Linked DNA regions of Struthio camelus. The protein of the gene in region 3 purifies or fractionates together with the protein of the main gene of each other region. This does not show direct contact. Links are inferred from orthologs where the notes say so. Each region holds a gene or a part of one and is shown on either strand. Other genes may lie near its edges.

The links. Proteins that work in one complex are often made in the same cells at the same time.
Region 1: the proteins of PAGR1 (region 3) and PAXIP1 purify together in Homo sapiens (affinity purification with mass spectrometry; 6 studies listed by BioGRID and IntAct, with this or other methods). This does not show direct contact. The link is inferred for Struthio camelus from reciprocal best matches to the Homo sapiens genes PAGR1 and PAXIP1.
Region 2: the proteins of PAGR1 (region 3) and KMT2C purify together in Homo sapiens (affinity purification with mass spectrometry; 3 studies listed by BioGRID and IntAct, with this or other methods). This does not show direct contact. The link is inferred for Struthio camelus from reciprocal best matches to the Homo sapiens genes PAGR1 and KMT2C.

The regions. Positions count from the first base shown.
Region 1 is NC_090943.1:9,729,870-9,737,632, forward strand, and holds the start of PAXIP1 (PAX-interacting protein 1), read right to left. Parts: upstream 3,013-7,763; 5' UTR 2,886-3,012; coding exon 2,799-2,885; intron 1-2,798.
Region 2 is NC_090943.1:8,562,012-8,568,904, forward strand, and holds the start of KMT2C (histone-lysine N-methyltransferase 2C), read right to left. Parts: upstream 3,013-6,893; 5' UTR 2,989-3,012; intron 2,230-2,988; exon of another isoform or gene 2,153-2,229; coding exon of another isoform or gene 2,015-2,152; intron 1,986-2,014; 5' UTR 1,985-1,985; coding exon 1,806-1,984; intron 1-1,805. Other genes in the region: uncharacterized protein, read left to right, coding at 2,015-2,152. UniProt on the Homo sapiens protein: Histone methyltransferase that catalyzes methyl group transfer from S-adenosyl-L-methionine to the epsilon-amino group of 'Lys-4' of histone H3 (H3K4).
Region 3 is NC_090973.1:652,076-659,182, forward strand, and holds PAGR1 (PAXIP1-associated glutamate-rich protein 1), read right to left. Parts: upstream 3,019-7,107; 5' UTR 2,226-3,018; intron 1,900-2,225; exon of another isoform or gene 1,612-1,899; intron 1,364-1,611; 5' UTR 1,361-1,363; coding exon 915-1,360; intron 824-914; coding exon 741-823; intron 621-740; coding exon 433-620; 3' UTR 398-432; downstream 1-397. Other genes in the region: HIRIP3 (HIRA-interacting protein 3), read left to right, coding at 1-94, 182-324; SEZ6L2 (seizure 6-like protein 2), read right to left, coding at 3,047-3,076, 3,221-3,323, 3,596-3,713, 4,671-4,709, 4,805-4,996. UniProt on the Homo sapiens protein: Its association with the histone methyltransferase MLL2/MLL3 complex is suggesting a role in epigenetic transcriptional activation. However, in association with PAXIP1/PTIP is proposed to function at least in part independently of the MLL2/MLL3 complex.

The DNA of each region.
Region 1 (7,763 bases), on a different chromosome or scaffold from region 3:
GAGAATATCCAGAAACCAAATCTCACGTTCGAAGTCCTCGTTGCACAATATTATTTTACTCTCTGCGTATTTTACTCTCTTTGCCTATTTTTAGTAGCGTTATCTTACCATGACGATTGTAGTTTACATCTGTCAGGAAAATAAAGCATTTATTAAAAAAAAAAAAAAAAAAAAAGATGACATCTCGTCACCACCTCCAGTGAGGTGTGAACAGGCAAGTGCACATCTCAGTGGAACAGATTCAAATTTGAGAGCCAGAAGCCTAATTTTCCACCAGTTGCCAAAGAATATCTAGGCACAATTCCAAACTTTTGTTTCCCTTCTAGTTCATGCTGCAAATATTTTAAATAGGTAGTAGGTACGTAGCTATTCACCGGAATGGATTATATTTTGTTCTTGTTATTGGATTAGTTTCATTAAAATCCTCATTTTTGCTAGGCCTGTTTTAATATTGATTCGGATGTCTAGCCTTCAATGAAAACATTTGGAAACTTAAGCTGATCAGAGTATGCTCATCCCCAAAAGATAAGCATAAAGATGAAAAAGATGAAATAGGAAGCTTCTTTTTGAAAGTAAGCTAGTATCCACTTGTATATAAATAAGCAAATAATTTTGAAAATATCTGTATTCTTATAATACTAATGGATAAATATTTCAGTATAGAAACTATTTTTTTTAAATGTGTAGAATTTAATTTAGATTTTCTCCTTTCTGTCCTGGTTAAAAACACAACACGTAAATAGCCTGCTTGTTCATTTTTTCCCTAGGGTACCACAGAGGGTACTTGTGAGAAGCAGTGAAAAGTTCCTAAGTGGAACTTGCCCAAGTTCAGTAAAACCCACTTCTGATTAGCTTTGGTTGTGATGGTGCTGAATCAAATCCAGACAGGACTCTCACAGAACCACAACCTGCACTCCCCAGTGCCTGATGTTCCTGAGGGCTCATGAGCTCAGGCACCAGTGCTGAGAAGTCCTGACATCCATTTAACCCTATGCCAAAGCACTAAGCCATTTCAGCATCCAGAGCTCAGGAGGAAAGAGTGCAAACTGACCAGCAGGCTGTTTACAGAAACAACTCAGACCCATCGGACTTTTCAATTTGGCCATCATACACAGAAAGAAAGTGGTTAAAAGTCTTCCAGCATGACCTGAAGCAGCGGTAGCCACTATGGTGTAGCGCTATGCCTAAGCTTACACAGTCTGCCAGAGCCACCTTAGCTGTCTATCTACAACACAGAAATGTCATCCACTAATACATGAGAACTGAGTGTACCTAATTTAGAACACATTAAGGCTTGACAACAACGAAGTTAACTGCTAAGCAAGATAAAATTTATCTTAAGAAAAAAAAACTAGCAAAAGAGAATGATTGCTTACTGGCTCTATGGGAATACTGCTGATTGTCTTGCTACGTCAACACAAAACTAACTACATGCCTTTTGGGACACCATACATATGATATAGAAGAGAGTCCTGTTGTTTTCTGCACTCATCTTTGTACATATAATAATACTGCTGCTATACCTTCTTAAAAATGTATAGTGTTATTCAAGCTCTCATACATTTTCAAATAGCTAATGTCTAAAGGCTGTGGGTTTTTTCTACTCTTCAACTACATTACCAGTCTTTATTTAACATATAATCCTATTAACGTGAAAACACAAAAAAACATTTAAATAGGTCAATGTCTATGTCCCGAGTTTGTTTAAACACCCATAAGTGGAAAAAAACATGAGATGAAAGGAATCTGATACTGAACAAATGGTAGACTACAGCAACTACCAAAAGAGTCAAGACTTAAATTTCAGTATCAAATGCACAGGAATCTGTTAGCATGAAGTTGCTGTCCTAAAGCTAGATATGGCACACTTCAAACACTTGTCTAATTGGACATGCCGAGGAAACTTTGTTGGCACTTCCATCCAGCAGAACTGGATGTTACCACAGGCCAGCCCTGACATCCAGGCTACTGCCCTAGGTGCTAGGGCTGGAAGGTCATCTGACAGCAGCTTAGGGGAGCACGAGGCAGGGAAGATCATGTCGTGACCACATCAGGATCTCTGTCCGTCCAATGGGCCTGAGAGATCCGGGGACAGGCAGCGGAGCCACGGGGGTCCTGCACTGTGCTCCTGGGACACAAGGAGGAGGGCGGAGACCGAGCGGGCAGGCACGGGCGAGCGGGGAGGGAAGTGACAGCGAAGCCTTCGTTTGCCGAGCCTCCCCCCGCCACCCAGGCGCCGGGCCGGCCTGTCACTGCCCCCGTCCTGCACCGGCCACAGCCAGGGGCGCGGGGCCCAGCCGGGGCCGGCACGGCGAGAGGCTGCCTGCCGCCCCCCGCCCGGCGCTGCGGTCGGGTCCGCCGAGGGCCGCACGGCTCCACGGGCGGGCCAGGCCCGGGGCCGAGGAGCGGCCCCGTCTCCAACAGGAAGTCCCTTCGCCCGCCCCTCCTCCGCTCAGGCGGCTACGGGGCCTGCGCGCCGGGGCCGCTGGCTCCCATGGCGGGTCGCGGCGCGGCTGGCCGCGGGCACGGCCGTTACTGGCCGTTATGGCTCCCCCGCGGCGGGGGCGGGGGCGGGGGTGGGGGGGCGCTGGGAGGGAGGGAGGGAGGGCGCGCGCGCGCGCTCGGCCCCCGCCCCTCCCGCGGGGGAGCGCGGCGCGTGCGGCGGCGGCGCGCGAGCCTCGAGCCCGCGCGGTGAAGTGCTGGGGGGGGGGGGGGGGGGAGAGAAGAGGAGCAGGAGGAGCCCATGCTGCCCCCCCCGGGGGGGGGGGAACGGAGTTGAGGAGAGGGTGACCCGGTACCTTGGGGTCGATGTCTCCCACCGCGAAGAACTTGACATCTTTGAACATCTCCTCGGGGACTTTCAGCTCCTCCTCGTCCGCCGACATGGTCCCGGCCGAGGCCGCCGTCACGCGCGCCCCCCCCTTCGCCCCCTCCCCAATATCCCCCGCGCGCACTGTGCAGAGCCGCCGGGGCCCGGGTCTCCCGTCCCCTCCCCCCGCCGAGCCGCCGAACCGCGCGAGCAAGGCGCGCGCTGCGGGACACACCATCCCCCGCCGGGACGCAGGGGGGGCCGAGGGGGGAGGGGAGAGCCGCCGGGACAAAGCGGCTCCCCCCGCCCGATCAGCCACCCCGGCTGTTGCAGGACTAGGCCCGCTCCTCTTCCACGGACGCTATCTCCGCTCTTGCCCCGCTTTCCGAACCGCACCAGAAGCCAGCCTCCGGGCCCGCGGCTCCCCCCCCGTACGGAACGCAATGGACTCGCCCCGAACGACAGAGGCGGGCAGCGGGGATTCCCGGACCCGCCCATTAGCAAACAGGCGAGGGAGGGGGGGAAGAGGAGAAGGGAGCGCTCCGCCCTCGAGCCCCGCCCCCAAGCGCAGGCCCCGCCTCCCCCGCCGCGCCCCTGGGGACCGTTACCCGCCCGCCGCCCCGCCCCCCCCTCCCCCCCCCCCGCCGCCCCTCGCCGCCCTCAGGGCGCTCGGGCGGGAAGCGGCCGCGGGCGGCGGCGGCGCTGGGGGGCGGCCCGCTCCCCCCGTCACACGGCGGCCTGAAACTCCTTCCCGCCCCGGCGACGCCTGCCTGGCACCTGGCAGCACAGCGCCCCGGGCCCTGCGCTAGGCCTTGCGTGGCTCAGGAGGGCCCCGCTGAGGCTGGAGCGCGCTCCCCGTTTCCAAAACCCTGGTGACAGCCAAAAAGCACTTGTGCGACTCCCGTTTTCTTCATGATACCAGGCTTTCGTCTCTGTTCTTCAGGGGAAATCAAGCAACCGCCCGTGACTAACCCCACTGCAAGCTGTGACAACGTTTCTGTACTGCACGTGTCCTACTACGTTCTGCGCTTTATTCTGATTTCAAACCATTCCTTCAGTCGGTCGAGAACCTTCCAAAATTCAGTCCTGTCCCAAAATGTTGTTACCTCTCCCCGCTGGCAGCCCTCTGCAAATTTAATAGGCGTACTAGGTATTCCGGCATCCTACTCATTAATGAAAGTACTGATTACTACCAAAATCAGACGTTCTCCCTTAGAAGCCTGCTCAAAACATCTTCTACCATGATACTAAACCACTGAAACCTAAAGGAGGATTCATCTTACCTGACTCCGGAAAACTGCTCAGAAAACTGAAACAATCACCTTAAATTCCCTTTACAGTCAAGAGAGAGGAAAAAAGCACTTTAGACCCTGATTCGCTGACATATTTTAAATATCTGTGTATTGTCCGGTAAATCCTGCCCCTACGCTAACTGTGCTTTCCGAAGGAGTTTGGACCCCTCATATTAATCTTGTGCAGACGATGTTTCTCTGCCGTACTTCAGAGCAGTGTTACGGAGACGACATCCAAAGGGTGCAAGAAAATACAGGACAGCTACTTCTCGTCTCCTGTCCACAGAGCCTGTTGCACTTCCCCAGGGGAAAATTAGATTTATTGAACTAATTTTGAATGAGCAGAACCATCTGCTTTTGAACATCAGTTTTATCCCCTTCATGCAATTATTCACACTCTTATCTCACTTTCCATCTTTCCTAACGACTCACTCTTGTTTAGATCATTTTCTTCTACCCCAAGTATGTTCCTGGACTGCCTTTGAAAAACGCTTCTCTGAACCTCACCTTTCTCTATAACTGCCGTCCAGGCCTCCCAAGTCTGGCTTCTGCTTTCATCTTACATAATTTCCACCTTCTTCAGCTCCATTTTTGATCCGTTTTGGCTTCTTCCCACTAAATTAGAACTACTTTGACCAAAAACTTCATGCACCTAATTTTCCTTATTCTTCTCAAACCATCTGTAAAGCATTAACACTATTGCTTACTGAGTTTTCTTTCCTTTTGGATTCCAGTATCTCTGTACTTATCTGTATTTTCCAGCACTGGTTGTTCTCACTTCTTTTCTTTTACAAGTATCAGTGTCTCTCAGGTTTCTGTTCTCTGTTCCAATTTTTCCTCTATGTATTCTTTTCTCTTCATGGTGTCATTCATTACCTGCCTTCATCATCTTTCTCAAATATGATTGCTAAATTGTCCCTCCTCCCATGAGTACTTCCCTTATATCTAATTTCATTTGCCATTGCATATTCCCACTCCACACTAAAAAAAACAGAGTTATCTGTCCTCTTGATTCCTCTCTTCAGTCTGTCTTCTTTGCTACTGCAAACATTTTCCCCTAGCCTTTCTATCCCTTGGGCTTACCATATGCACATTATTTTTAGTTCTTTGCACAACACAAAGATTACAAATATTTCAAAGCAGGCGTTATGTTTATACCGACAAAGAAGCATAGTGCAAACAAACGGCACTTTGAACATGATTTTTAATAATAATGCCCTTTCCCAAACCTTCTGCTCAAATTGTGCTATTGAGGCATTACGTTGGGCCTCTTTGATCTTCTGTTGAGTCAGCTATTCAAATCACAAGAATATGAGATAAATTTGGTACTTAAAATCCCATCAGTTTGACAGTCCTCTACAGCATATCAGATGTTAGCTGTGCAAGGTCGGAGCACTGCACATTTAAGTCACTGAAAACCATTGCAAAAGCAGTTTTCAGCAAAAATATGCTTGTTAATAACGTGTCAATCTGAACCAGAACTGTACTTTTTCACCCATTATGATAAAAATCCAAGAATGAGGTTTAATTCCACTTACAGTATGGAAGTGTAATGCAATGTAAACAGAGAATTTAAGAATTCACTAAAATAGCTTTGCAAAAAGAAATCTGTTTTATAACTTCAGTCTCAAAAAAACCCAAAGTTTAAAACAGAAAACTGTCATTCAGTAAACAGAATTTCTCCTAAAATGTAATATATATTTTTTCTACTTCTGACGCTTTCAGAATAACCAATTGATATATTTGAAAAAACACCTAGCATATTCAGAATGAGGAAAATTTTCTCATCAAGTTGTAAAAACCAGAAATAAAAGGTTTTCCCCCTAAAGTGAGAGACTTCTATAATCGAAACATTAAATGTATGTGCTTGCTGTGTCCTGCTTACACTGAAGTTCATGACAAAGCAGTACTTAGCATTAATCGCTCAAATTGGCCTCACAGCTTTTGACTAGTGTAGCAGCATACATTTTGGCATGCTATTTTGCAATGTCAATTGGCTTTTATGCTTATAATAAATCTTTGAATGCCATCAAACTTAAAGCATAAGAGGGTACAGTTTCTATTATTTTTTTCTAAAGAATCAGCTTTCCAATCTTCTGTATCATTAATTCGAATTTCTTGTTTCTAAACTAGCCAAGTAAGTTTTTTTCCCATAAAAGTCAAATGAGAACTCCTCTTTTCCTGAGGGGCAGAATCATGCTACCAGTTGGAGAATATCTGTGCCAACTGCAGTGTAGGAGACAGCATATTTTTGCTTAGTGGTTAAGCAGAAGTAGACATAGTATGACATACATTTAAAAAGAGACTTTAAAACCCCGTCAGAACTTTTTTTTTTCCAATTTCATACATTAGGTTCTCTGACTTAACAGACTTTTAGAGAGCTAATTTATAGCATTGCGTGAATCCATTTCTGAGACAAGTCACAGTAGACCCTGTTAAGTCCTCTTGAAGATGGAATATAGATACACATGCATACTTTGCAGACAGATATGTGGAAAGTTCTGGAAGTTATTTAAACTGAATTCACTGAAATTACATAGAGATAGTGATTTAAACATGTTTAAAATAAATAGACTGAAATTTTTATGGGATCTTTTACAGTTTTTTATCCCGTTTTGTATGTAGAGTGTTGCAAATTAAGAGTAAAGCAGCAGAAGCTAATGAACAAATCAAATTGCACTGTTAAAAATATACTTCTCTAAGAACTTCTGCCATCCTTCTTTCACTAACTAAACTTTACACATTCCTCCTACTTCCCTCAAAATCACTTTAATAACAAAAAGGTCATTTCTACCTACCTCCACCCAGACAGTTATTTTGTTTTGCTGTAGGTTTATTTGGTATCAATATTTCTGCCAAAGCTATTAAAGACTTGGAAATTGTTCGACAAAACTAGCTTCATGTTTCATTCTGATAGTTCAACCTCTTGCCCAGATTCTTAATTCAAACGTAGGACTCGGTCCTGTGAAGTTGTAGGTCAGATTATATCTACTTCTACTGAGGATGGATTAGGGACTGGGTCAAAAAGAAAGACTTAGATAGTGCAGTCTCAGTGAGGCAGTGCCTGTGCGCTTTGGACGTGCATTTGCTTTGCAAAAGGCTGGAGTGGTTTAAAAATTACTGCTCTCAATTTGCTTGTCACTGCCTTCTCTGAGCTCAAGTAGCTGTCAGGTAGGCAACTAGCTGTGCAGCACAGTCAAAGCATGTGCATTGCTGCACGTACCATGAGACAACGCACAGAAACACGCATACAGAAAGCTTTCCTGGTAGACTTTTAGACACCTAAAAGGTTTAGTGGCCCCTGAGAAGTAGTTTCGTATATCTGAATTTTGGACTTTTCATCACTTAGAGTGGCTGTTGGGTTATCAGCAGTGATATTAATCTTCTTACATATAAGTATCTCGTGTTTTTTCCACATTTTTGTTGGCTTCAAGATGACCACTCACAGGAGCATATACTACTCGCATAGCTAAACACGTATAATTCTTCCCTGCAGTTAGCTTCTAAATATGCAGAGTAATTAAATTAATGAACCCATCTTTTACTTCTGTATATATATGTAATGAGTCATCTGTCAACAAGTTATTTAATTTCTAGTAATTAGACTACTTCTAACAAAAATGAATAATTCCAATTTCTGCATTGTGTGTGCGTGATCTAGT
Region 2 (6,893 bases), on a different chromosome or scaffold from region 3:
TGTAAGAAAATTTGCATTAAGCAAAAAAATAAGGTTTTTGAAGGGGGGAGCTGTGAATGAGCCTCTCCACCAAAACCAGAGGGTAAACATTAGAATGTTTCAAGGGAAACTCTCATCAATAAGAACAAAAATCATTCAGATATCCCTAACTCACGATAGTTCTGTCTTGGAATATTTATGCAGCATAAACATGTAGCAGCACTTCAAGTTGCAATAGAGAAAAATATTTTCTTTACGTGTGTTTATTTCCTGCACAGCAGGACTCCTTTCCAGTGTTTTGTCATTCTACAGTGAAACCCAGAAAGCCGCTGAGCCGCTTGGGGTGGGCATTTAACCAAGTGCCAGCAACTCACCTGTTTAAATAGACTCGACCGACGTCAAACTGAGAGCGCCGCTTTAAAACAAAGAGAAACAAACTCGAAAACCCCGCGGCTGCAACCAATTCTACAACGCACAGACTTCCTATGTTGCTGAAAACTGTGATGTTTCTTCTCAAAAGGCGTTAGCCTCCTTCGGTCCTGTCACCGCCTCCAGAAGCTACGCCACCCTACGCAGGAACAACCCGAAGGGAGTACACGGCGTACAGGCGCGGCACTTCCACTGCTGCGGGCATCAGGCCTTCTCACCACCGCCCGACACGACACCCAACTCCTATCAGCGTTGAAACAAACACACGCGCCGTTTCACCCATGTCTCTTAGCCTTTTGGTGCGTCAAAAATCGGGCTTGGGCACCGCCGCGCTCTTCGCACCGGCTCTACCGAAACTTCGGCATGCCCAACACCAAGGGATCCGCGCTTGACCTGCCCCCCCCCCCTTACTGCCTGCGCTGCCGCCGCCGCCCGGCCCAGAGACGAGCACGAAGCGCCCGGGGTCCCCGCGCGGCCGTTGGGGCGCCCGCCGCGGCCGTTGGGGCTAACGGTCGCCCGCGGCGCGGGCGCGCCCACATCCCCCCCACCCCTCGCCGCCGGCCTGCGGGGCACTGCCCGGGCTGTGCCCAGCCTGGCGGCGGCGAAAGGAAATCCGCCACAGCACAGGAGGAGGAGGAGGAGGAGGAGGCGGCGGCAGCCCCCACCCCCCTCCCCCGGTGTTTGTTGTGCTTCGCCACTGGGCAGCCTCGCCGTCCCAGCGGCGCGGCCGGCCGCGTCCCTGGGCGAGAGGCCGCTTGACAGCTCCCCTCAGCGCCGTCAGCCTCCCTCCACCTCCGAGCACACCGCCAGGCGGAGGCGAAGAAAGTCCTGCCTAAACTTTGTGTGTGTGCGCGTCCGCACCCGTGTGTGTTGGGGGGGGGGGGGCTGGTTTTCATAGCCATCCACTTAGGGCAAGAACCATCGTTTCTTTCTCTTTCTTTAAAAAAAAAAAAGAAGAGGGGCAGGTGGAAACAGCGACGAGCTGCCATCGAGTAAAAGAATATTCAGACGACGCTGAAGGCAGCCGAGCGTCCTGGAGGAGGAGAGACCCGAAAAGGAGAAGGGGGAAGGTGCAAAGGAAGGGGGGGGGGGAAAGGGAGGAAGAGAGGGGGGAAGAGCTAAAGAGAAACTCCAAAGAAAGAGGAAAAGAAAAGGCGCAGGGACGGTAAAAGAAAAGTGAGAAGGGAAAAACAGGCGGAGGAAGACAAAGGTGAAAAAGGAGGAGGAGGGGAAAGTGCAAAGGGGAGAGGAGGAGAAGAAAGAAGGCCCCTTCTCAAAATGGCACTAGGCAGGAGGGAGGGGGCGACGAGCCGGCAGGCCGTGCTGACAGCTCTGCCTGCGCCCGGCTGCCGGCCCCCTGCCCCTCTCTGCCTCGCACACACAAGCGCTGAACTTACTTCTTTCTGGCTCTCTGGAAAGGGGAAGCGCCATCTTTGCGAGGCCGGCCCCTAGGTCTTTTGTCTGTGGCTGCCGCTGCCGCCGCTGCTGCTGGGGGGGGAGCTCCCGGCTCGGGGGGTTGCTGTTGCTGAGGCGGCTCCGCCACCGCCACCACCAGACTCTTGTCCTCCGTTGACATCCTAGTCAGCAGGACGAGAGAGACACATGGATGATGATGATGATGAAGATGAGGATGGTGATGGGGATCCCGATGCTCCTCCTGCTCCCGCGGCTCCTCGCCTCCTCACCTCCGCCTCCTCCACCTCCGCCGCGCATTGCTGGCCTCAGCCGCCGCCGACCAGCACAGGTAGCAGGGGGAGCAGCATGGGGAGAGCGGCAGGAGGCGGGCGGGCGGGCGGGCGGGCGGGGGGGGGGGGGAAGAGAAGAGCGAGAGCGCGGAGTGGAGGGAGGGAGAGAGGGAGGGAGGGAGGAAGGAAGGGTCTCACACACAATAACACCCCCCTCCGCGGCTCGGCGGGGTCCGCCGGGGCCGGGGGTAGGCGGCGGGGGAGGTGAAGAGAGCGAGCGAGCCGAGAGGCGGCTAATCCCGCCGCTGGGCGCCCCCCTCTCAGAGGCCCCGGGAGCTGGCGGCGGCTCCGGCTGCGGCGCTGCCCGGCTGCGGCGGCGGCCGCCGCTTCATTGTACACTGGCCCTGCGCCCTCCCCCCGCGCAGAGCCCCCGGGGGCGGAGGAGGAGCAGGCGGCGGCGGCGGAGGCGGCGGCGGCGGCAGGGGCCGAGGCAAGAGCGGAGGAAGTTTTGACAGCTCCAGCTGTTGTGTGTGTCGAGGGCTGAGTCCGGCCGGGCTCCGCGTCCCCTTCCCAGCCGGGCCGGGAGCAGGAAGTTTAACTTTGGGGAAAGAAGGAGGAGGAAGGGTGAAAAAGGGGGAGGAGGAAGACGGCGGAGGAGGAGGAGGAGGAGGAGGGAGGAGGAGAAAGCTTCCCTCCCCGCGGGGCGGGGTGGGGAAGGGATCCCGGCGCGGCCGCCGCTGCCCTGCTGTGTAACCCCCCCCCCCCCCCCCCGCGCCGCCAGTGCGACACACAGACAGACAGACAGACAGACAGACAGGCCGGCCGCCCTCCCTCCCCCGCGCCGGGCCCCACACTGCGCCTGCCCGGCCCGCCGCCCCGCGCCGCCGCCACTGACCTCACGGGCTGGCTGCCGCGGCCGGCTGCGCCCAAAGCGCGGAGCCGCGGAGCGCGGACGGGACGGCGAGGCCGGGGAAGGGAGGTGAAGGGGGCGGGTGGGGGGGGGCGGGCTCGGCCGCGCGGCTCTCCCCCCCCCCCCGCCCTGACCGTTTTTATTTCTCGTCCCCGTGGGGAGGGGGAAAAAAAAAAAAGAACGATTTAAAAAAAATCCCGACGAGCCCCGCAGCCGGGGTCCCCCGGGCGGGCAGCCGCCCCCGCGCTGTGCCGCCGGCGGCTCTCGCCCCTCCCCAGCGGAGGCGACGGGGAGAGGAGCGGGGGGTGAGGGTGAGGGGGGGGCGGCGGCCCCGGCTCGGCGCGCCGGGGGGAGACAAAGTCTGCGGAGGCCGGAGCGGGCGGGCGGGCGGGGGCCCAGCTGGCCGCCTGCCCGCCCGGCCGGGCCGGGCCGCGCCGCGGGGCGGGGTTCGCCTCGTTACCCGGCGGTTAACGTGGCCCGCAGCCCGCCGCGCCTCGGCTCGGCTCGGCTCGGCTCGGCTCGGCTCGGCTCGGCTCGGGGGGGCCGGGCGCGCCCCCGGACTTTCCTCCCGGCTGCTGGCCGGGCGCCGCCGGCAGCAGCGGCGCGGAGGGAGGTCGCCGCCCCGCCCTGCGGGGGAGCCCCGCGGCGCTGCGCTGCGCTGCGCGGGGCGCGCGTGCTCCTTTCCGCAGCCGGCGGGTCGCGCAGAGCGCGCGGCCGCGCTGCCGGGGAGGCTCCCGGCAGCTGCGACCCAGCTGCCCCGCGCTATGGCACCCCCCCTCCCTATGGAAGTGCTTGCTGTTGGCATCGCAGCTGCTGATGAAAACGGCCTAAGGTGGCACGCAGGTACCGCCGGGAAAGTTGGGAGAAGTTACCGTTCATCACCTCCCTCGACCTAAAAATAAACGCGGGGCAAAGCGGGCCTTTTCGCTGTTCTCCCCCCCTTCCTCCCCGACCCCTCAGAATTTTAGCTTGTCCTCTTCGGAAACACCGCGTTAAAAATTGCACGCGCTGCCAGCTACGGCTTGTGGCTGGACTGTTTTCCTGGGAGCCGTTTCATCACAAGAAGAAAGTCTCCGTTGTTTCACTTCCTGGCTTCGTGGGAAATTAAATTACATCTTTGTGACGTTCGTAATAAGGACTGCTACCTGTCTGTATTTGGAGATACAGGTAAAACGTATAGCTCCATCAATCCATACGCACACACATGCACGTGTGAAGGTACATTCATATGTATATAAAGACATCGCTTTTGCCCAAGCGTGCAAAGATGACAGGGACCAGCTGGATTGCTGACGTGACTCCTTTGGCCCTGTCACTGAACACGTACTCATTTCTGCCCAATTGAAAAAATAGCTGCGCGCTAAATGTTTGCATTACAAAGTCTCCAAATGACTGCAAAGGTGTGCCGCTCGCAGGACTTCAGATGCAGGAACCTTTCTGTTTATGCACTGCCTAACACAGAAGAAAGTACCTTGAACTTTGTGAAACTCGGGCCAGTTAGCGTAACTGAACCCAAAGCGTTGGGTACCGCACGGGCCCAGGCTTGGCTGGAGCAGAGGGGCGGCAGAGGAAGGGGGAGTGACCGGCCGAGGCCTTCGCCAGGGTTGCCAGGTTGCCATCTGGTCTGCTAACAAAAAAAAAAAAAAAAGGCCATCACCTGAAATAATTACCGTGCATGTGCCGATCTGCTGCGCGCGCGGTGGCTGGGACGAGTCTAGGATGTGTCAGAGCCACCGCGCACGTGCACATCGAGCCGCGCGTAGACATGTGAGGATGCCCTGGGCTCGGATCAGCCGTGGGTGGAAAAGCGCTGTCGCGCCCCACAGCAGAAAGACTCGGTGAAATCACTAGGTTCGCTTGTCCGCACGTGGTTCATCCAGTCCTCCGAGGTAAACACCGCTTAACACCTCTCAATTAACCCTCGGTAGCTGAGTTTGGGGCTTTGCCTTTTATGCAAAGGGAGGTGCGGGTTTAACTATGCGTGTGTGACGTCCTTCCTGGTTGTGTTTTGTACTGATGTTGTTGTCACAACGTAAAATCCTAGTGGAGGCAGGGCGAAATTCGTTTCGGTGTAGCGAGGCTGCTGAGGGACTTAGGCCCATCAGTTACATTACCGCGCGCTACCTCCGGCTACATGTCCGAACAAAGCTAGGCAGGTCTGCTCTGTAAACTGCTGCTGCCATTGCTGTGGCAATCAAAGGTGTGGAGAGGTACGTAGGATTGAAATGCGCTTGTGAACAGCGAGCCGAAGTGGAGGTACGATTGCGGGAAACGGTTTTTGCTAGCGTTGTTTGTATTACTCAATGAAGGCAGGGGGACAAGCCAGGAGAAGTTGTGCCACCGAGCGTGACCCCAGGGTAGGAGTGCCTTGCTGATGGGGGATGCTTCAGCAGCTCTGGCAGGAAAACTTTCACGTTTATGTCTGGCCGAGGCTACCCACCTCATTATAAATTGTCTCTTTCTGAAAAACACACGTTTTTATAGCAAAGACACAGCATTAGATGAACAGGTCCTGTAAGTACCATTGTATCGTGATACCACCGAAGCAGTCTGTGTAACAGAAATACTAAGAAATAAGGTGATTCCTGATCCTATCTGCGGTGGGATCCAGATACTTTCTCTTTTACGACGTTAGTCCAGAACCCTGCCGGTTAACGATCGTTCGCTAAGTTGTAGAAATAAATGAAAAGTCTAGGTTTTGTTCTCTTTGGACGTGTTTCTGCGTTGCAGAAACGATCGAGCTACCACAAAGACTTCATTTAGTAAACGACGTCGGCAGCACGTTAACCGTTTAAATGTCTGGTGCATTGCAACACTTTGGCTTTAACCAGGGCGAAGCTGCTAACAGTACGCTGCAGTCGACACCTGCTCGCTCCGGTCTGCTGCTCTGAGCCCTGGGGAAGGCCTGGTGCTGGGCACATCCCATTGAACTATCCCCGCTGCAAGAGCGGCCAGCTGCAGCGGCAAGGTGCGGGGGGGAGCTGGGCGTCCTCAGCACATCAGGCGCCCGCTGTACTCTGCTGCACGGGCGTGAGTATTCACCGAAGCAGTTCAGAAATAGCTGGGTTTTTTTCTTTCTATATTAAGAAAACCCGAGATAATTTTAAAGAGTTATAGACGGGACCTAAAGCAAGTGGCAAAATCAGGATTACGTCATACAAATACGCGACTCCCAGTTTTTTTGTACTAAACGTGGCTGAACAACAAAAAAAAAATAGTTAGCATAAGCTAACGAACGTGTTGTGGAAGTCTAGTTTTAAACCTGAAATATTTGTTTCTCCTTTTCATCCGTTTTGCTTACTTGTCATCTCGTAGCTCTGACTCTCGTCAGGCAGCAGCACAGCCTGGATGTTGGGTACGACATAGCCTCGAGCAGCGCTGACTTTCCCGGCGGTTTGGTGGGACGCTCGCTGCTGGGGCTAGCCCTCGCTTCTTGTCCGGAGCAGCGTTCCCGGCCAGCTGGAGAGTTTCAGCCATCGGGCGCTCCGGAGCGACGGACGCGTAGCGTAAGCTCAGCGTACCTGCTCTTTTTGGAGGCAGCACGGTTCACGGTCGTTGAGAAAAAAAAGTTTAAAAAGTTAAAACGTTTCGGCTCTTGGTTTTCTCACCTGCTTTCCAGCACGAGATATCAGGACTCGCGTTCTGCAACAGCTGCTCCCCGCACAAACTACTCTGGGATATGTGTATGGACATGGGCTAATACGGTCGTGCCCGAGGCCAGGCGCCCCGTCCCCTGCCTGCTTTAGCTTGATTAGTTTAGTATGTGTTAAAGGCAGCCTTGCCTGCGCTGTGATGTATGTGCTAACATCACACCTTTACACCTTCGCCTCGCCAAAGCCTAAGGCCTTTTCATCATATTAAGCTACTTTGGCTGGGCTGATGTGGCTGAG
Region 3 (7,107 bases):
CCGTCGCTGGCCCGGTGCCGGGCGCTGAAGCAGCGGCGGGAGGAGGCGGCGGAGCTGGCCGCGCTGGACACGGCCAACATCATCGACTCGGGGGGTAAGCGGGGGCGGCGCGTGTGGGGCAGCCCCCCCCCCCCGGCGCCCCCTCGCCCTCCCGCTTCATCTCCCCCTTCCCCTCGGCCAGGCCGGCCCCGACGGCGCAACGTCTGGAGCCTCTACAACGCCCCCCGGCCGCCCCCGGAGGAAGACGAGGGGCCGCCCCGGCGCCCGCCCGTGGACTGGTCGCGCCTCCGCGGCGTCATCAGCTCCGACGGCGACAGCGATTGAACCTGCCCCCTTCCCCCAAATCCAACCCCCTCTCCCCCCCCCGGCACGAAATAAAAAGACGGCGGGATTCAGCGGCTTTCCCCCGCCCGTGTTTGCGGCGGGAGCCGCTCAGTACTTGCGCTGGCGCAGGAAGAGCCCCGGCGGGCGTTTGGGCGCCGGCGCCGCCTCGGCGCCCTCCAGCTCGAACAGGTCCCGGCCCGTGCGCAGGATCTGCTCCTCCAGCTTCTTGTGCCGCTTCATGTCCGACAGCACCTTGTCCAGCCGCGCTTCCCGCTTCTGGCTCCGCGACGAGGCGCCTGCGGAGGGGGGGGGCGCTATTTAGGAAAGGGGGAGGACAAAGGAAGGGGGGGGGCCGAACGCCTGCGGAGGGCGGCGAGGGGACGGCGGCCGCCTGCGCCCTCCCGCCTCCTCCTTACCCGGCGTCCTGCGGCGGTCGATGAGGGAGCTCTTGGGCGTCACCGGCTCGTCGTCGAAGTCGAACTCGGTGGGGACGCGAGGCCTGGGAGAGAGAAAAAAGCGTCAGCCCGGCGTCCCCCGCAACGCGCGCTTCGTCGCCGGCGGAGCCGGGAAGCCCTCTCGCCCTTCCTCACTTCTCCTCCTCCTCCTCCTCGCTCTCGGGCTGCCCGTCGGAGCGGCGCTCCTCCTCGCTGTCGGGCTCGGGCGTGGGGGCCCGCCGGGGCAGCGGCTCGGCCCGCAGCTCCAGCGTGCCCTTCTCGGCGATGAGCTCGTAGAGGCGGCGGATCTCCTCGGGGGCCGGCATCCAGGCGTCGGCGCCCTCCAGCTCCTCGTCGCTGCAGGGCACCCCCCACTCGCCCTCCTCCGCCGGCGCCGCCGCCTCCCCTTCTTCCTCCTCCTCCTCCTCTGCCGCGGCTTCGGGGGCCGCGGCCTCGGTCCCTCCTTCGGGGAGCTCCGCCGGCGCCTCGCTCTCCGCCTCAGCCGGCGTCGGAGCCCGCTCCGGCTCGGCCGTGTCCTCCACGGCGAGGGACTGGAGCCCCGAAGTCACCTCGCCGTCTTCCTCCGCCGTGGCCTCCATCATTTCCTGAAAAGAATGGGGGGGGGGGGAAACACGAGACCAAGTCGGACGCTCCCTCAGCCGATAACACCCTAAAAAGGTGACAAAAGCAGCCCCCTTCCCCACCCGGCCCGGTCACAGCGGCGCGGGCGACGCCGCCCTGTCACCGCCACACGGAGCGGCGCGCTCCCTCCCCCGCCGAGGGGTGGCCATGTCGAGGCCCGACGCCCAGCCCCGCGCCATGGCGGCAGCGAGGGGCCCCGCGCCCTGCTCACCCTGACGGGGGGAGGGGGGCCGTCTCCGGCACTGCCGGGGGCGGGATGGTGCCGGCAAAGGGGCTCTCAGGGCCCCCCCACCCCGCTGACCCCGGCCCGCCGCGGCCTCCCCTCACTGGCGCCCCGCCGCCATTTTGTGCGCCCTCCCGCCTTTTTCCTTTTCCCGCTTCCTCCCCCCCTTCCCTGCTGCGCATGCGCGGAGGGGGCGGGGCCAAGTGGCGCGCGCATGCGCGGGGCGGGAGCCCCGCTGCTTTCCCTCCCGCCCTCCGCAGCAGCGCCCATGCGCCGCGTTGTTCCTCGAGAGGTGCGCATGCGCGCGGGGGGGGGGGTGATGAGGAAAGCGCATGCGCGGGGAGGGAGCTGCGCCTCTCCCCCCCCCCAGGAGTCTTGCGCATGCGCTGCGTTGGTCCGACAGCTGCGCGCATGCGCGCTAGCGGAGACGCGCGTGCGCAACAGGCCTATTCTGCCCCTCGGAAAGAGGCACCCCCCTCCGCCGCGAATGCGCATGCGCGCCTCTCCTCTCTCTCTCTCTCTCTCTCTCTCTCTCTCTCTCTCTCTCTCTCTCTCTCTCTCCCCCCCCCACATCCCCTCTCGACCGCGCGTGCGCGCCTCACCGCCTGCCGCGGCCGCCGATTGGTCGGAGCGCGGTGACGCGTGGAGCGGGGGGGGGCGGTCCCCCCCCTCGGGCGGCGCAGGCGCAGACGGAGGCGGAGGCGGCCTTAGAAACGGCGCCGTTTATTGAGTCGTTTTATTGCTCCAAATCCCAAGCAAATGAACCCAAAACGGGGCGAGTGTGTGTTTGGAGGTGGGGGGGGCGTTTGGCACATGGAGCGTGCGGGGGGCGTGGCCTGGCGGCGGCTCCTCCCCAAAGTGGGCGGAGCAAGGCCTGAATTCACCCCCCCCACCCCCTCGAATGGTCTTAAAGGGATGGGTTGGGTGAATTTGTGTCCTCCGGCATTTGGCACCTTAAAGGCGAAGTGTCCCTTCCTTTCCCCCCCCCCCCGCACCCCGCCCAATATAACCCTTAAAGGGGCCGCAGTGGTAATAAACGTCCTCCAGGCAGAATGATCGCCTTAAAGGGATCTTCCCATCTGGTGACCTTAAAGGGGCGGACTGAGTGTCTCGGTGAGGTGGGGGGGGGGGTCTCCCCCTCCCAAACCTCGCTGACACCCGCTGCTTATCCCAATAAATATATAAATTAATTAAATAAATTAAATAAATAGTCCCGGCCGGTGGGGAGAAGCTCGCAGGGTGGGAGCTGGGTGGAGGGGGGGGGGTCACCATTAGCAGGTGGATGTTTGCAGAGCTGGGGAGGGGGGAAGCAAGGCATTGTGGGACGACGGAGGCACCCATCACCCCCCCCCCGCTGGGGGAGGGGGCCAGATCCTGCCCCACCACCTCCCCCCAGGTTGCGGGGGGGGGGTCCGCGTGGCCTTCAGATGGAGACTTCGTACTCCCTGGTGTCCTGTGGGGTGGGAGAGAAGTGGTGGTGGTGGTGGGGGGGTGAGGCTATGGCTCCGCCCACCCCAAATGGGGGCGTGGCCAATGGGAGGGGGCGTGGCTAGCCCCCCATACCCAAGGAATGGATTGGGGGGGGTCGCAGGCTCACCCCGGCCTCGTAGAGGGGGTTGTTGAAGTCGCTCTCCACCGTGATGGGGCTGTAGCTGTGGGAGCTGGAGAAGGAGAAGCCGAACAGGGACTTGCCCTGAAACCTGGGGCAGAGACACGTTGGGGATGGGGGCAGTGAGGCCAACCCTGCCCCCTCCCTCCTTCCCCCCCCCCACACCCTGCCATGGGGCCGCCCACAACCACCTCCTCCCCTCCTTCCAGGCAAAACAACGAAATTGCGACGCGGCCCCTTTAAGACCTGTCCCTCATCGCCGCTTTAAGACGCGGTGGTGGGGCGGTGGGCCCCACCCGGCGTTGCCCTTTTAAGAGCGCCGCGCCGCGGCGGGTCCCGCCCCCGGGGCGCCGATTGGCTCACTTGGTGTAGTAGACGTAGATCCCGCCAATCAGCAGGAGGACGAGGATGATGGGCAGGAAGACGGCCAGGGCGATGTTGCCGCCCTCCAGCTGGCGGGAGGGGTCCGCCGTCTGCGTGACTGCGCGGCCAATGGCCGCGGCGGCGGCGGGGGGGGGGGGGCGGTGACGTCAGCACTGCACCACGTGGTGTTCTGCTCTCCTCCCCCTGCCGCCCTATAGCAGCGGCGGGAGCTCCGCCCCCCCCAACCCCCCCCCATAGCGCCCCATAACCCCCCCCATAGCCACCCTATGGCCCATTGTCCTCTCCTGCCCCATAGCCCCCCCCATACCTCCCTGCCCCACACCCTTCCCATACCCGCTATACTGCCCCATAGCACCCCAGACCCCCCGCCCCATAGCCCCCCACCCTCCTACCCTTTGCCCCATAGCTCCCCCATTCCCCCATACCCTCCTACCCCATAGCCCTCCATTCCCCAATCCCCCTGCCCCATAACTCCCTTACCCTTTCCCCATAGACGCCCCATATCCCCCACCCTATAGCCCCTCATATCCCCTGCCCCATAGCCCCCCATATCCCCACCCCATAACTCCTATAACCCCTGCCCCATAGCCCCCATATCCCCACCCCATAACTCTCATACCCCCACCCCATAGCCCCCATACCCCCACCCCATAACTCCTATAACCCCTGCCCCATAGCCCCCCATACCCCCACCCCATAACTCCTATAACCCCTGCCCCATAGCCCCCCATACCCCCACCCCATAACTCCTATAACCCCTGCCCCATAGCCCCCCATACCCCCACCCCATAACTCCTATAACCCCTGCCCCATAGCCCCCCATACCCCCACCTCATAACTCCTATAACCCCTGCCCCATAGCCCCCCAAACCCCCACCCCATAACTCCCATACCCCCACCCCATAACCCCCCATAGCCCTATACCCCCACCCCATAACTCCCATACCCCCTGCCCCAGAGCTCCCCATACCCCCTATACCTCCACCCCAGAACCCTCACACCCCCTGCCCCATAGCGCGGCGGGTTGGAGGGGGGTGGGGGGGGGAGGTCTCACCCTGGAGACGCCGCTCCTCCAGATATTCGGGGTAGGCCACTGCGGAGACGCGGGGAGGGCAGTGAGCGGGGCCGGCCGTGGGGGGGGGGGCGACGCCGTGGGGCAGGTGGGGTGGGGTGGGGGGGGTCCCCTACCTTTGCAGAGCGGGGGCTGGCTGGTCCAGCGCGAGGGCCGCCCGGGCAGGCAGGTGATGGTCACCTCGCCCAGCAGCTCGTAGCCCTCGTAGCAGAAGAAGCGCAACGACTCGCCCGCCTGGTAGTGGTGCTTGTAGAGCGTCTGGTAGCCGTTGGCCGGCACGCCGGGGTTCAGGCACGGCTCGTACTTCACTGCGGGCACCCGCGCGCGGCCGTCACTGCCCGTCCCGCGCCGAGCCCCGGGGCGGGGTGGGGAACCTCCTGAGACCCCCCTCTGGGAGCACAAAAGGTGGCTCTGGGACCTCCTGGAACCCTCTGGGACCACAAAAGGTGGCCCTGGGATCTTCTGGGACCCTCTGGGAGCACAAAAGGTGGCTCTGGGACCTCCTGGAACCCTCTGGGAGCACAAAAGGTGGCTCTGGGATCTTCTGGGAACCCCAAGAGTTGGCTCTGGGAACCTCTGGGAGCACAAAAGGTGGCTCTGGGACCTCCTGGAACCCTCTGGGAGCACAAAAGGTGGCTCTGGGATCTTCTGGGAACCCCAAGAGTTGGCTCTGGGAACCTCTGGGAGCACAAAAGGTGGCCCTGGGACCTCCTGGAACCCTCTGGGAGCACAAAAGGTGGCTCTGGGATCTTCTGGGAACCCCAAGAGTTGGCTCTGGGAACCTCTGGGAGCACAAAAGGTGGCTCTGGGACCTCCTGGAACCCTCTGGGAGCACAAAAGGTGGCTCTGGGATCTTCTGGGAACCCCAAGAGTTGGCTCTGGGAACCTCTGGGAGCACAAAAGGTGGCCCTGGGACCTCCTGGAACCCTCTGGGAGCACAAAAGGTGGCTCTGGGATCTTCTGGGAACCCCAAGAGTTGGCTCTGGGAACCTCTGGGAGCACAAAAGGTGGCTCTGGGACCTCCTGGAACCCTCTGGGAGCACAAAAGGTGGCTCTGGGACCTCCTGGAACCCTCTGGGACCACAAAAGGTGGCCCTGGGATCTTCTGGGAACCCCAAGAGTTGGCTCTGGGAACCTCTGGGACCACAAAAGGTGGCTCTGGGACCTCCTGGAACCCTCTGGGAGCACAAAAGGTGGCTCTGGGACCTCCTGGAACCCTCTGGGAGCACAAAAGGTGGCTCTGGGATCTTCTGGGACCCTCTGGGAGCACAAAAGGTGGCTCTGGGACCTCCTGGAACCCTCTGGGAGCACAAAAGGTGGCTCTGGGATCTTCTGGGAACCCCAAGAGTTGGCTCTGGGAACCTCTGGGAGCACAAAAGGTGGCTCTGGGACCTCCTGGAACCCTCTGGGAGCACAAAAGGTGGCTCTGGGATCTTCTGGGAACCCCAAGAGTTGGCTCTGGGAACCTCTGGGAGCACAAAAGGTGGCCCTGGGACCTCCTGGAACCCTCTGGGAGCACAAAAGGTGGCTCTGGGATCTTCTGGGAACCCCAAGAGTTGGCTCTGGGAACCTCTGGGAGCACAAAAGGTGGCTCTGGGACCTCCTGGAACCCTCTGGGAGCACAAAAGGTGGCTCTGGGACCTCCTGGAACCCTCTGGGACCACAAAAGGTGGCTCTGGGATCTTCTGGGAACCCCAAGAGTTGGCTCTGGGACCCTCTGGGAGCACAAAAGGTGGCCCTGGGACCTCCTGAAACCCTCTGGGACCACAAAAGGTGGCTCTGGGACCTCCTGGAACCCTCTGGGAGCACAAAAGGTGGCCCTGGGATCTTCTGGGAACCCCAAGAGTTGGCTCTGGGAACCTCTGGGAGCACAAAAGGTGGCTCTGGGACCTCCTGGAACCCTCTGGGACCACAAAAGGTGGCCCTGGGATCTTCTGGGAACCCCAAGAGTTGGCTCTGGGAACCTCTGGGAGCACAAAAGGTGGCTCTGGGACCTCCTGGAACCCTCTGGGACCACAAAAGGTGGCTCTGGGATCTCCTGGAACCCCAAAAGTTGGCTCTGGGAACCTCTGGGAGCACAAAAGGTGGCTCTGGGACCTCCTGGAACCCTCTGGGAGCACAAAAGGTGGCTCTGGGATCTTCTGGGAACCCCAAGAGTTGGCTCTGGGAACCTCTGGGAGCACAAAAGGTGGCCCTGGGACCTCCTGGAACCCTCTGGGAGCACAAAAGGTGGCTCTGGGATCTTCTGGGAACCCCAAGAGTTGGCTCTGGGAACCTCTGGGAGCACAAAAGGTGGCTCTGGGACCTCCTGAAACCCTCTGGGAGCACAAAAGGTGGCTCTGGGATCTTCTGGGAACCCCAAGAGTTGGCTCTGGGAACCTCTGGGAGCACAAAAGGTGGCCCTGGGACCTCCTGGAAC